Linked DNA regions of Oryctolagus cuniculus. The protein of the gene in region 3 interacts with the protein of the main gene of each other region in a pairwise test. Links are inferred from orthologs where the notes say so. Each region holds a gene or a part of one and is shown on either strand. Other genes may lie near its edges.

Region 1 (3,747 bases), on a different chromosome or scaffold from region 3:
TGTGTTTATAGCAGTTTCTCTCTCACACAAACACACCGGTAAACACAGTTCCTCTCTCCCCTATCAGAAAGCTCCAATGAGAGCATCAGCTTTATCTGTTTTGTTCATGCTCATATTCCCACAGTTAACATCAGTGCCTGGCACATGATAGTTGCTCAATAAACGTCGGTGAAGAAAGCCGTGGGCCTGGGGCTAGCAAAGAGCAGTCTGAAACCTGGATCCCAACTCCTGCTCTTTCACTGTGACTGGGGGAACACAGTCTCCTGGCTCATACATTTCCGAATCTGCAGAATGAGGGGCTTTGGCGGAGGGCCTCGTGGGTCGAATGGCTGCTGTTCACGCACATCCTTTCCAGAGTGGGACGAAGCGTCTCATTGCTCCACTGCTCGAAGAGAAAGGCTACGCACTCCAGCCCCAGCACGGCCAGCGGTGCCCTTCCTCCTCACGCCCCACCCACCCACACAAAACGCCCCAAGTCCGAGGAAGCCAGAGAGAGCCTGCCCTAGGCCCGCCCTCTCTGAGAAACTGTCTGGGAAGCGGTGTTGCCATAGCAATCAGCTCCTCCTCAAAAGGCTTCAGCCTGCCCTCTTTTACCCCACCCTACCCCAGGGCTTTGTCTGGCCTCACCCCCCCCCTCCCTGGCCAGTCAGCCACCGACCTAGCGGCTGTGCGAGGAGGCTGGCTTGGGGCCCCTTACGGCAAGAACAATGTCACACTCATTCAGCAGCGGTGTGGAAACCCAGCCTTTCCCACCCTCTCCTAGGGAAAAGAACCCTGGCACAACACCAAGTGCCCTCTGGGAACCAGAGGCGCCCCCAAGAGGGCTAAGTCTCCCCCACCCCCTTCTGACAGGCAGCTTCCCAGCCCAGAACGAGGGGGAGCCACTACCTCTCCCTCCCTCACAAGCCTCCCCAGGGTTCAGCTCACAATAGTGGCTCACCTCTGAAAACACATCAAAGCCCCTCTCTATGCCCCACCACTCCCCCTCCCAGAGAAACCTAGAGTTTTGGGGGTCCTAGGATTCCCCACCCAGGGGAGGGGAAATGAGTCTGTGGCTACCCATCACTTGGGGGTTTGCTGGGAGAGGCCCTGGGGGCTGGGAGAAGTGGGGAGTGAGCCTTCCTGCTGGTTACCAGGGTCTCTGGTCGTGGAGTACAAAGTCTGGGGCAGGGCACGGTGCCTAGGGCTCCTAGACTGGCAAGGACCAGGCCAGGCCCCAGGGCGAGGAAGGAAGTGGGAAATGAGCACACCCAGAGCGTAAGGGCAGGGCAAAGAGGGGGAGGGGGCAGACAGAGACCAAGACAGGCTTCTGGGAGGAACAGGAACTAGGGTGGGGGGTTGACAGGAACCCAGTGGGTGAAGGGTCCCTAGGGACACCAGCTGGGGAAGAAACCCTGGTCTCAGCTAGACGGATCCTACATTTGCTAGGGGGCAATCACACGAGCCCTGGTGGCAAGTAGGGCCTGGCTCCTTCTCGGAGTGCCCAAGCCAGAAGACTGAGTTAGGAGCCCAGCGGACAGGAACACTTCAGACAGGCAAATTCACCCCACTAATTGCATCAGCCTCACTCCTGGAACACAAAACACAAATGTCTTCCTGGAGTCCCTGCGCTGACCTAGACTGTTACTTTCTCAAAGTAGTGGGGGCTCCCCCCTTCACCCGGGGCCTCCCCCCCCCAGGCCTCCGACCCTCCCACACTCGGGACCACCAGCCCTTCTCCATCGCGCAGCTCCTTTCCCCCAGAGCGCCTCCAAATCCCCTCCCCCTCGCACAGCAACCCCGCCCCCTAACATTGTACCTCCCATCCCCACAAAGCACTCCCGCCCTGCCCCCATAAGGGCCCACGGAGAATGCACCTCCTTGCCCACACATTGAAGCCCTCAACTGCTCCCTCAACTCCGGCTCCCCCTTCAACCTACCCCCCCCTCGGCAGTCTCCGGATTCTCCCATCCCTAATGGTGTCCCTTCTTCCTCACGTCTGCCCCAGCGCACCCCGGTCCTTGGCCCTTCCTCCACGCGCACCCTGCCCCACACCTGTACTTCCGAGGGTCCCGTTGCACTTGAGGATTGGGGCAGTTACGGAGCAGTCCTAGCTGCAGTCTCGGCCCGCAGACCTCGCCCCTTCGGCGCGAGCCCCGCCCCCACAGCGCCCCGGCCCACCCCCTCCCTTGTCCCACCTCCCACCTTCCCCCAGCTGGTCCCCTTTCCCCGCGTCTTTAATTCCTCTGGCTCCGCCTCTGTAGCCCAGGCCCCGCCCCTCTGCTCGCCGTCTTTGCATTTCCCCAGGATCCTCCGCTTTCCCAGGCCCCGCCCCGGGTCCCGCCCCCTCGCGATAGCCCCGCCTCTCTCTGGGACCCGCCCCCTCCGACTCCTGCCCGGCAGAACCCCCGCCAGGCCCTTTTCCACCGCGAGCCCCCTCCCCTCTCAGAGTACTTCCTCCCCCCGCCCCCCGCTCCTTCTCCCGCTCGCTTCACCCGGGCGCCCGCGCTCCAGCCCGGATCCGCTGGCTCTGATTGGCGGCGGCGGCCCCAATGGATGACGGAGGAGACAAAGTGATGGCTGCAGGTCGCCTGAGGTCCCACCCCGGCCACGTGCGGCTTCTGTGATGACAGGTCTGGGGGGCGGGGCCTCGGCCGCCGGGCTGGGAGCCGGAGCTGGCCGGCCCAGGGCTGGGGTGGGGAGCCAGCTCGCCCGGCGTACCTTCTCGAGGCTTCGGCGCTGGGATGAGCCGCCTGAGGAATCCGAGCCTCTCTGTTGGGACGTCTAGGTTAGCAAGTGCCTTTGCCCGAAAGGGACAGGTCTGTGGGGCTGCAAGATAGTGCAAGGAGTCTCAAGGGTCTGTGAAAATGGTGGAGGCCGGGCCGTGGGTTTGGGTGGTTTTGGAGCCCACGCTGGGCAGGAGGGTCAGTGCTCTGGGATGGGCAGTAGGATTCAGTTCCGTGCCTGTGGGACTGGGTCAGCAAGGAGGTCTGCGAATTTTACCAGTGTGAGGGTTGCTGTGAGGTTAAGAGAAGTCTGCAATCACCGGCGAAAAGCGAGGCCTTTGCCCTGTACTGGTGTCGAGGGAACTATGCGACAGTTACACAGGATCTGCAATTTAGTTCGCGCTTGAGTCCTCGCGCATCTGCCCACGGGGAAGTGCCGCAGTTCAGGGCGACGCCTCGCACACGCCGGTAGATGGCAGCACAGGACACTTGCCAAACCACGACCCTGGGCTCCCCAATCCCGGGTCTCTATGAGGAGCTGGTGGCCTGAGTCGGGCCTGAAATTTTCTGGAAGTCTTATAGGTTCTCCGATTTTATTTGATCACTTAAATAGGTTTACTCAATGCCACTGGTGTGTTAGGCACGCACAGAAAAGAGAAAAACAAGCAAACCATTTTCTCTGCCCTTTATTGTTTAGACCGTAATACAAATACTTATATAATCCTAGATAAATTTGAGTGTTATATAGTGGAAAAGATACAGATTTCATAGCCATCTGGGTTGGTCTCCGAACTGTGGGCACTTAAAAAAGCTGTATAGATTCAGGTAGGTTACTTGACTTAATAAAATTTTGGGCTGGCACTGTGGCATAACGGGTAAGGCCGCCACCTGCAGTGTTGGCATCTCATATGGACGTCAGTTCCAGTTCCGGCTTCTGCACTTCCGATCAGGCTCTCTGCTGTGGCCTGGGAAAGCAGTAGAAGATGGCCCAAGTCCTTGGGTCCCTGCATGGCTTCAGATTGACACAGCTCTAGCCCATGGG
Region 2 (3,747 bases), on a different chromosome or scaffold from region 3:
TCTAATTTTAGGTCTGCTTTTTATTTTTTAAAACTTCACTGAGATAACTTTGAAGGGAGTTTATCTTATAAACTTTTACTCTCAAGTAAAATACTGAAATCACATTAGCACCACTCTTAAAGTTTCCCAGAGCCTTGCCATGTAGTTGGCCTGGCTGTACTACCGTTGAGAGAACACGCCCCAGGGCTGAGCTGTGGCCTAGCGGGTACAGCTGCCGCCTACAGCGCCGGCACCCATGTGCGCACCAGTTGGAGAGAACGTGCCCGATGATGCTCCCCAGCTGGGGAGAGGGGAGGGGTTTCAGAAACCTTCACAGGAGGGGGCTTCAGGACCAGGCCTGCAGCAGTGGGTCAGCCCACGTCTACACTGGGCAGACACCGGTTCGAGTTCCAGCTGAATCCCTTCCAATCCAGCTCCCCTGACCCCAGTGCTTGGGCCCCTGCACCCACGTGGGACCCAGATGAAGCTCCTGGCTCCCGGTGTGGTCACCTGGGGCCCCGCAAATGGAAGATCTCTCTCTTTAATTCTTTCACATAAATAAATAAATCTAAAAAAAAAAAAAAAAAAAAGAGCTTCTAAAGCTCTCTTAGAGGCAAACACCTCTACTCTCCAATGAGACAGTTATTTAAGCAAAACTCCCGAATAACTCATAGCTTGTACAGTTCCTCTGCTTACAAAAGCAGTTTCACATACGTCTCGCAGACGCGCCCAGGAAAGCCGGCCGTGGGCTCACCTTTCCCTGTGAATGCTACAGCTGAATTACGCCGTAAGACTTATTGTCATGAGGACAGGAACGCGAGCCTTGGGTTTTCCTGTTTGCTTTCTCAGGCGTCAGAGATGCCGTGAGCTCATCTACTGCGGTTTCCACTTTCAATCCCTCCCGTGTCCTCCACAAGGAATCACGAAACGTTCGTCTCTACGCGCGTAAGGACCACGTGTGTTCTCGGAGATGCGCTTTTGCACCGCTGATTTGTGACTCACAAAGCTGCCTCTTACAAGCGGAACCCATCAGTTCAGGGCGCTTCACCGAGTCAGGCATCCCAGGCTTCTCCTTAGGGACGAATGCGGGCCGCGGCCCGGGACAGCAAGGGCTCCGAACCCGCAGCTCCTCGGGGCGGCGCCGGGACACTGGCGAGCTGGCCGCGCGTCCGTGCAGGACCCCGCCCCGGTGCTCACCGCGGGACGCGCTCCGTGCTGTCCACCAAGCGGCCGCAGTGGCCCCGAGCGCAGGCCACTTGGTCCCCACAGAGGAGCCGGAGCAGGTTCAGTCCATCAGCGGGGAACCCGCGCTCACTTTCGGGGCAACACGAAAAACGGACAGAGAAGCGCCCGTGTCGGCGGCCCACGCGTCCATGCGCCCGGCTCCGAGCCACTCCCGGGCCGCCAGGGGCTTCACGCACCGCTGTGCCACGCGCGTTCCTTCCTCTAGGGGAAAAGCAGCTCGCTCCCCCGGAGGATGGAGCCGGGGGTGCAGGCGCGTCCGACCCCCGCCCCGGCGGACCTCAAGTCCGATCCCGTCTCCGCGGACCCTGCGTCCGATCCCCACCTCTCCGGACCCCGCGTCCGACCCTCGCCCGGCGGACCCCAAGTCCGATCCCGCCACTGCGGACCCCTCGTCCGACCCCCGCCCTGGTGGACCCCGCTTCCGATCCCGCCTCTGCGGACCCCTCGTCTAACCCTTGCCCGGCGGACCCCGCGTCCGACCCCGCCTCTGCGGACCCCGCGTCCGATCCCGCCCCGGCGGACCCCAAGTCCGATCCCGTCTCCGCGGACCCTGCGTCCGACCCCCACCTCTCCGGACCCCGCGTCCGACCCCCACTTCTCCGGACCCCGCATCCGACCCTCGCCCGGCGTACCCCAAGTCCGATCCCGCCTCCACGGACCCCTCCTCCGACCCCCGCCCCCGAGGACCCCGCGTCCGACCCCCGCCCCGGTGGACCCCGCGTCCGATCCCGCCCCGGCGGACCTCAAGTCCGACCCCGCCTCTGCGGACCCCGCGTCCGACCCCGCCCCGGCGGACCCCAAGTCCGACCCCCGCCCCGGCGGACCTCAAGTCCGACCCCGCCTCTGCGGACCCCGCGTCCGACCCCGCCCCGGCGGACCCCGCGTCCGACCCCCGGCCCCGGCGGACCCCAAGTCCGACCCCCGGCCCCGGCGGACCCCAAGTCCGACCCCGCCTCCGCGGACCCCGCGTCCGACCCCTGCCCCGGCGGACCTCAAGTCCGATCCCGCCTCCGCGGACCCCAAGTCCGACCCCCACCTCCGCGGACCCCAACTCCGACCCTCGCCGGGCGGCCCGGCGCGACCGGCGGCGGCTGTGGGGACGGAGCCGCCCCGCCGGGGTCCCCTCCGAGCCGCGGGCGTCTCCCGCCGGCCGCGACCGCCTCAGCGCCGCGGCGGTTGGGCGTGGGCGGCGGGGTCCGCGCGGCTCCGAGGGGACCCCCGGGGGGCCTCGGCCGGGCGCCCTGACCCCGGCCCGCCCCGCCTCCGCCTCCGCCCCCTGCGCCGCGGCGCCGGCTCTGGGTCTCGGGCCCGCCCGGCGCGCCACTTACCCGCCGCGACGGCGTTTACGTAGCGGACTCGTCACTGGCTGCGGACGCGAGGCGCCCCCACGTCAGCGCCGAGGCGGCCGCCGCCGCCTCCCCTCCGACACCAACCACAAGTAGCGCCGCGGCCGGCGGCACCGCGCCCCCTCCCCCACTCCGCGACCGCCGCCCGGGGGACGCCCGGCCGAGACCCAGCCTCGAACTCCGCCCCCTGCCGGTCGCCAGCGGGAGTGCGGCGGGACAATCCAACAATTCAATGGAACCCGGGGCCGGGCGGGGCCACGGGGAGAGGGGCGGGGCCAGCGGGGAGGGGCGGGGCCAGCGGGGGAGGGGAGGGGCCGGAAGCGGATGCGCCGCGCGTGCGCCGGAAGCCCGCTGCGTGCAGCCCGCGGGCTGGTGGCCGGCCGAGCCGCTGGACCGAGCCCGTGCTTGGGGCGAGCCCCGCGGGCGCGGCCTGCGGACCTGGGGGCTGTCGGGCGGTCCGGCTTGTTCCCAGCTCCCTCAGCTCGCCCAGGCCGCCGGTCAGTGCGCGGGCACCCACGAGGGCGGGGAGTGGAGCTGCCCTGCCCCGGGAACGCGGCGGTCCGAGGGCCGAGCGACCGCCTTCCGGCAGGGGACTCGAAGAGGCGCGCCGTCCACGGCGAACGGAGCCCCGCGGGGCACGCACGAGGGCCCGCGGGCGAGGACGCGTGGGGAGTCGCGCGGGTGGAGGCCCTGCCGGGGGTGGGCAACGCGGGGCGCTCGGTGGGTTTCCGCCAGCCCCGAGGCCGCGAGTGGCGGGGTCCTGACCTGGCGGTAAGCAGAGGTGAGAGAAAGGGACCTGCTGTGACACCGGCATCCCCTATGGGAGCAGGTTCGAGTCCCGCTGCGCCACTTCCGATCCAGCCCCCTGCTGATGGCCTGGGAAGGCAGAGGAAGGTGGCCCACGTGCTTGGGCCCTGCACCTGCGTGGGAGACCCGGATGGAGTCCCTGGTTCCTGGCTTCGGCCTGGCCCAGCTCTGGCCGTTACAGCCATCTAGGGAGTGAGCCAGCAGGTGGAAGATCCCTCTGTCTCTCCCTCTTTTCTGTGACTCTGATTTTTAAATAAATTAATCTTGGGGGGGGGGGGAAGATGAGCAAAAAAAATGAGTCGTGTGTGTGGTTTAGAGACTGACACAGGATATTTATCCCTACGTGATCAGTATTTTAGCTCAGAAAAGG
Region 3 (3,647 bases):
CTGAGCCAGGAGCTAAGAATTCAGTCCAGGTCTCCTCTGTAGCGGGCAAGGACCAAAGTAGTTGAGCCACCACTTGCTGCCTCCAAGGGTATGCATTAACAGGAAGCCGGAATCAGAAGGAAAGACAGGCACTCCAGGTTGAGATGCAAGTATCCCAAGTGGCTAGTGTGCTAAACACCAGCTTCCACCCAAATCTTTAAATAAGGCTTAGATTAGGCTTTCTTGTTAAGGTTTTCTCTGATCTGAACTCATTTTGTGCTCTTTTCTTAAACTATCAACTTTATAGATTCTGTACCATTAGGTTTAATATTTAATTCTTCACAGAATATAGCTACCCTTTCCCTGAGAAGTTTATGAAATATTTACATTTATAGATGGGTAGTCATTTGTATTTACCTCAAAAGGAAATGTAAACCAAAGATTCCTCTTTTTTCCACTTGGATTTCTTAAATCAACCGGAGAGTATTTTACAAAATCATAGCGGTCTTGTGTTAGGACCATACTGGACTGAAGAACTTACCAGTAATGGGTTTGGTGCAGGCAGCACATCTTTTGGCATAAAGATGAGTGTAGCAGTCCAAGCAGAACGGATAATCATCTCTAGACATAAACTCTTCTTCACAGAGCTCTTTCCGGCAGCCACTACACAGAAAACACTCTCTATGCCACAGTTGGTCACGAAAAGTTATCCCACCCGAAGTTATCACCTGCCAAAGAACCATAAAATAGGAAATGACCATGGGAGCCACCACAATTCAAAGCACTCTATTCTATGTTTACAATTGATGCTTAGGGCTGCCCCTTTAGAGATGAATAACTACTTAGGATTAAAGTCATTGTTACTTGCTGTAGCCTCAAAGAGCCAGCATTCAAACCTGTGCAATCTAACTCCACAACCTGTGTGTTTAACATTAATACAATGCTGGGTGTCAAGGTTACCTTGCATGAATTATCAATTAATAAGTCATTATTGAATGAATAAGTATCTAGGGGGAAAACATCTTTGGCACACAATTCAAATATCCTATCTAGCACAAATGGAGTGCTGTGAGAAGTTGTGTGTACCTGGCTTCAGAACTCAACATAATGAGCACTGGTTGTATGTTAAGCCTTAAACCGACATGATGGAGTTTTACCAGATTTGATTTTTGGCTCTCCCCAAAATAGGCGTCTTTTCTAAATCAGTTTAAAAGGCTGAGAAATTTTTATGTAGAACCAGATGGATAAATATGGGGCAATTCTTCTCTTGCAGCTATTTTTTAACTTACGCCATCTCTCAAATCCATGGCTATTGAGCTCTTGAAGTGTCTGTGGAAACGGTAACATGCTGATGTAAATGTCTTACAATGACTGAAATAACATTATCTCTGAATTGGTTCCAATAATCTTCATATTCAAATTAGCAAGATACAGACAATGCAGAATCTAATTTAAGTCAACTTATTGTTGACAAACTAAAATGTGTCACTGTCAATGATATAAGCTTTTAACAAAATTATTCAAAAAGATATTTAACCTTACAACAAATGGAAGTTAGACATAGTTAATTTAAAGGTTATTTTTCTTAGAGGAAAAATAGTATACTCTCCTGAGTAAGTAAATGAAAAGCATAGTGGTGTGTGTATGAAGTAAAGCAATTTAAAATACCCCCTACTGACTTCAAATGACTTACAGCAGGCACAGCAGAATTCATGATTCCTTTGATTTGTTTGGTCAAATGATTAGCAGGCAATGTTTAAAAGATTAAAAGCTTGAAAAATATATTCACAGCAAAATAAAACTTGGTATATACACCAAAGACTGTTTAATGAGGAAGAAGAAACTCTGGAACATTAAAAATAGTTTGCGTGTGATTATATTCCTTCTGAAGTGGTAGATGGCTAAGACGAAGTCTAATATCTAAGCTTGGTTTTTTGCCACTGATCAATTCTAGGGTTTAGAACAAGTTTCTTTTAGTGCAAAGTAGAGGCAATAATGTTTTTGTGCTAAGTAGATCACAAACGAAGTTTTGAAGAATACATTTAACTCTAATTGAACCCTGAGGAGTTTGAGTTCAAGGCACTTGTGGTTTGAGGTCACATGCTTTTTAGTAGAAAGTAACTTTTAGGGTAACAAAATAAAATCTATGGGAAAGTGTTCTAAAGGCATGTTATCAAATAGTTTTTACTAATCTTTTTCTTTTAATATTTGATATTTGATTTGGATTGAAAAAATTTTTATCATAGAACATCTTGAACAAAAACATTTTATCTAGCATTCCTTAAAGGACTTGTGGTTGTAAAAATTAAATAGAAAGTAATCTGGCATATCATTATCTTTCTACCACACACAAAAAAATTAATAAGTTTTTGATGATTTAAAATGATATTTTAAATGTAGTTACAAGCTCCCATAACCTGGAAAATGCCAGCACTTTGGCCTAGACTGCTCAGCACTGATATACTAGAGAGTTCTCCTCTTGAGTCCTTACATCATTGAAAGAAACGTCGTACCATGTCCAGTAAATTACTTTAGGATAATTTCCATAATTCTCTTTAATATTTTAGTCTGAATCTTTAAAAAATGATGCCCCAAATCAGTAAATTTGGCTGTCTCCCAGTACAGTGAGATAAATATCCTCAAGTTATTTCAAGCATCTGTTTTAAATGTTTACCATTGACTCTGGTATTCAATTCAATGGAGTTTTGTGAATTACAGGGTCATAAAGTCTGAATGTCATTTATAAAGGTATTTTTAAAGTAAATGTATCTTGTAGAGCAATCAAGGTCTTTGGGTATAAGATGATTTCATATCATATCACATTATCAATTATAATCATCAGCCATCATCACATGTTATTTAATAATTATACTTTAGGAAAGTGTTTTAGTGTTCCTTTAAATGCAGTACTGGTATTGCTCAAACATGTAAACAATTATTTAACATGTGTTTGTACATGCATGTGTATTTGTACATGTACCTCTAGGAAGTGGTGAGGAAATTTCCACTTGCCCAAATGAAAATATACAATTGGTCTTAAGATATCTGCCAAAGTATCCATAGACCAAAAATGTTTATAAACCATTGTACTAATCCCCATGTGTTTTCATGATTCAGCTTTCTTATCACAATTTATAGTGTTGCTTTAAACTTATGATGGCTCACAGGTCACAGATTTCTTCAAGAACATCAATATATATTTTATGAAATACAGACAGGCTTCGTCAAGATGACAGGCGTGAGCTACTGTTTCACATAAAAGCTTAGTGGATAAAAAAGAATTGGACAAAGTTTACTTCAAAAGAATAACTTTTTTCCAGTGGGAAAATGTGTTTTGAATGGAAAACCAAGTTTGAAGGCCCTACATTATCCGGTGGGGCTGGAAGTGAAGTGACTTGCAGCTTTTAGTTCTCTTTCTGCTTTATGTCCATATAACTTCCCTCATAATACTGTTATCTCTTGAGCCTACAGATCTACTCTTTGGAAATACAATAGCTTCAAGCCAGGAAGATATGTGCTTAGCTGGAACATAATGTGAGGAGTTAAACATCCTATTTAAATTGGCTTCCTTTGTCATTCTGTAAAGCAAAGTCACATTTCTCTGAAGTGGTTAACACTGACTGGATCAAAAATTGTATTCCAAGAAATATTCTGCATTCAAAGAGAAA

What was found.
Region 1: the proteins of FHL5 (region 3) and ATOSB interact in binary tests that used the Homo sapiens proteins (3 or more experiments, as listed by UniProt). The two-hybrid records come from large-scale screens. The link is inferred for Oryctolagus cuniculus from reciprocal best matches to the Homo sapiens genes FHL5 and ATOSB.
Region 2: the proteins of FHL5 (region 3) and CREM interact in a two-hybrid assay, tested with the Homo sapiens proteins (2 studies listed by BioGRID). The link is inferred for Oryctolagus cuniculus from reciprocal best matches to the Homo sapiens genes FHL5 and CREM.

What each region holds. Positions count from the first base shown.
Region 1 is NC_091432.1:198,079,043-198,082,789, forward strand, and holds the start of ATOSB (atos homolog protein B), read right to left. Parts: upstream 2,581-3,747; 5' UTR 2,475-2,580; intron 2,149-2,474; exon of another isoform or gene 2,035-2,148; intron 1-2,034. UniProt on the Homo sapiens protein: Transcription regulator that may syncronize transcriptional and translational programs.
Region 2 is NC_091444.1:107,394,235-107,397,981, forward strand, and holds the start of CREM (cAMP-responsive element modulator), read right to left. Parts: upstream 2,692-3,747; 5' UTR 2,576-2,691; coding exon of another isoform or gene 1,457-2,575; intron 1-1,456. Other genes in the region: uncharacterized protein, read left to right, coding at 1,457-2,575.
Region 3 is NC_091436.1:75,505,600-75,509,246, forward strand, and holds part of FHL5 (four and a half LIM domains protein 5), read right to left. Parts: intron 708-3,647; coding exon 521-707; intron 1-520. UniProt on the Homo sapiens protein: May be involved in the regulation of spermatogenesis. Stimulates CREM transcriptional activity in a phosphorylation-independent manner.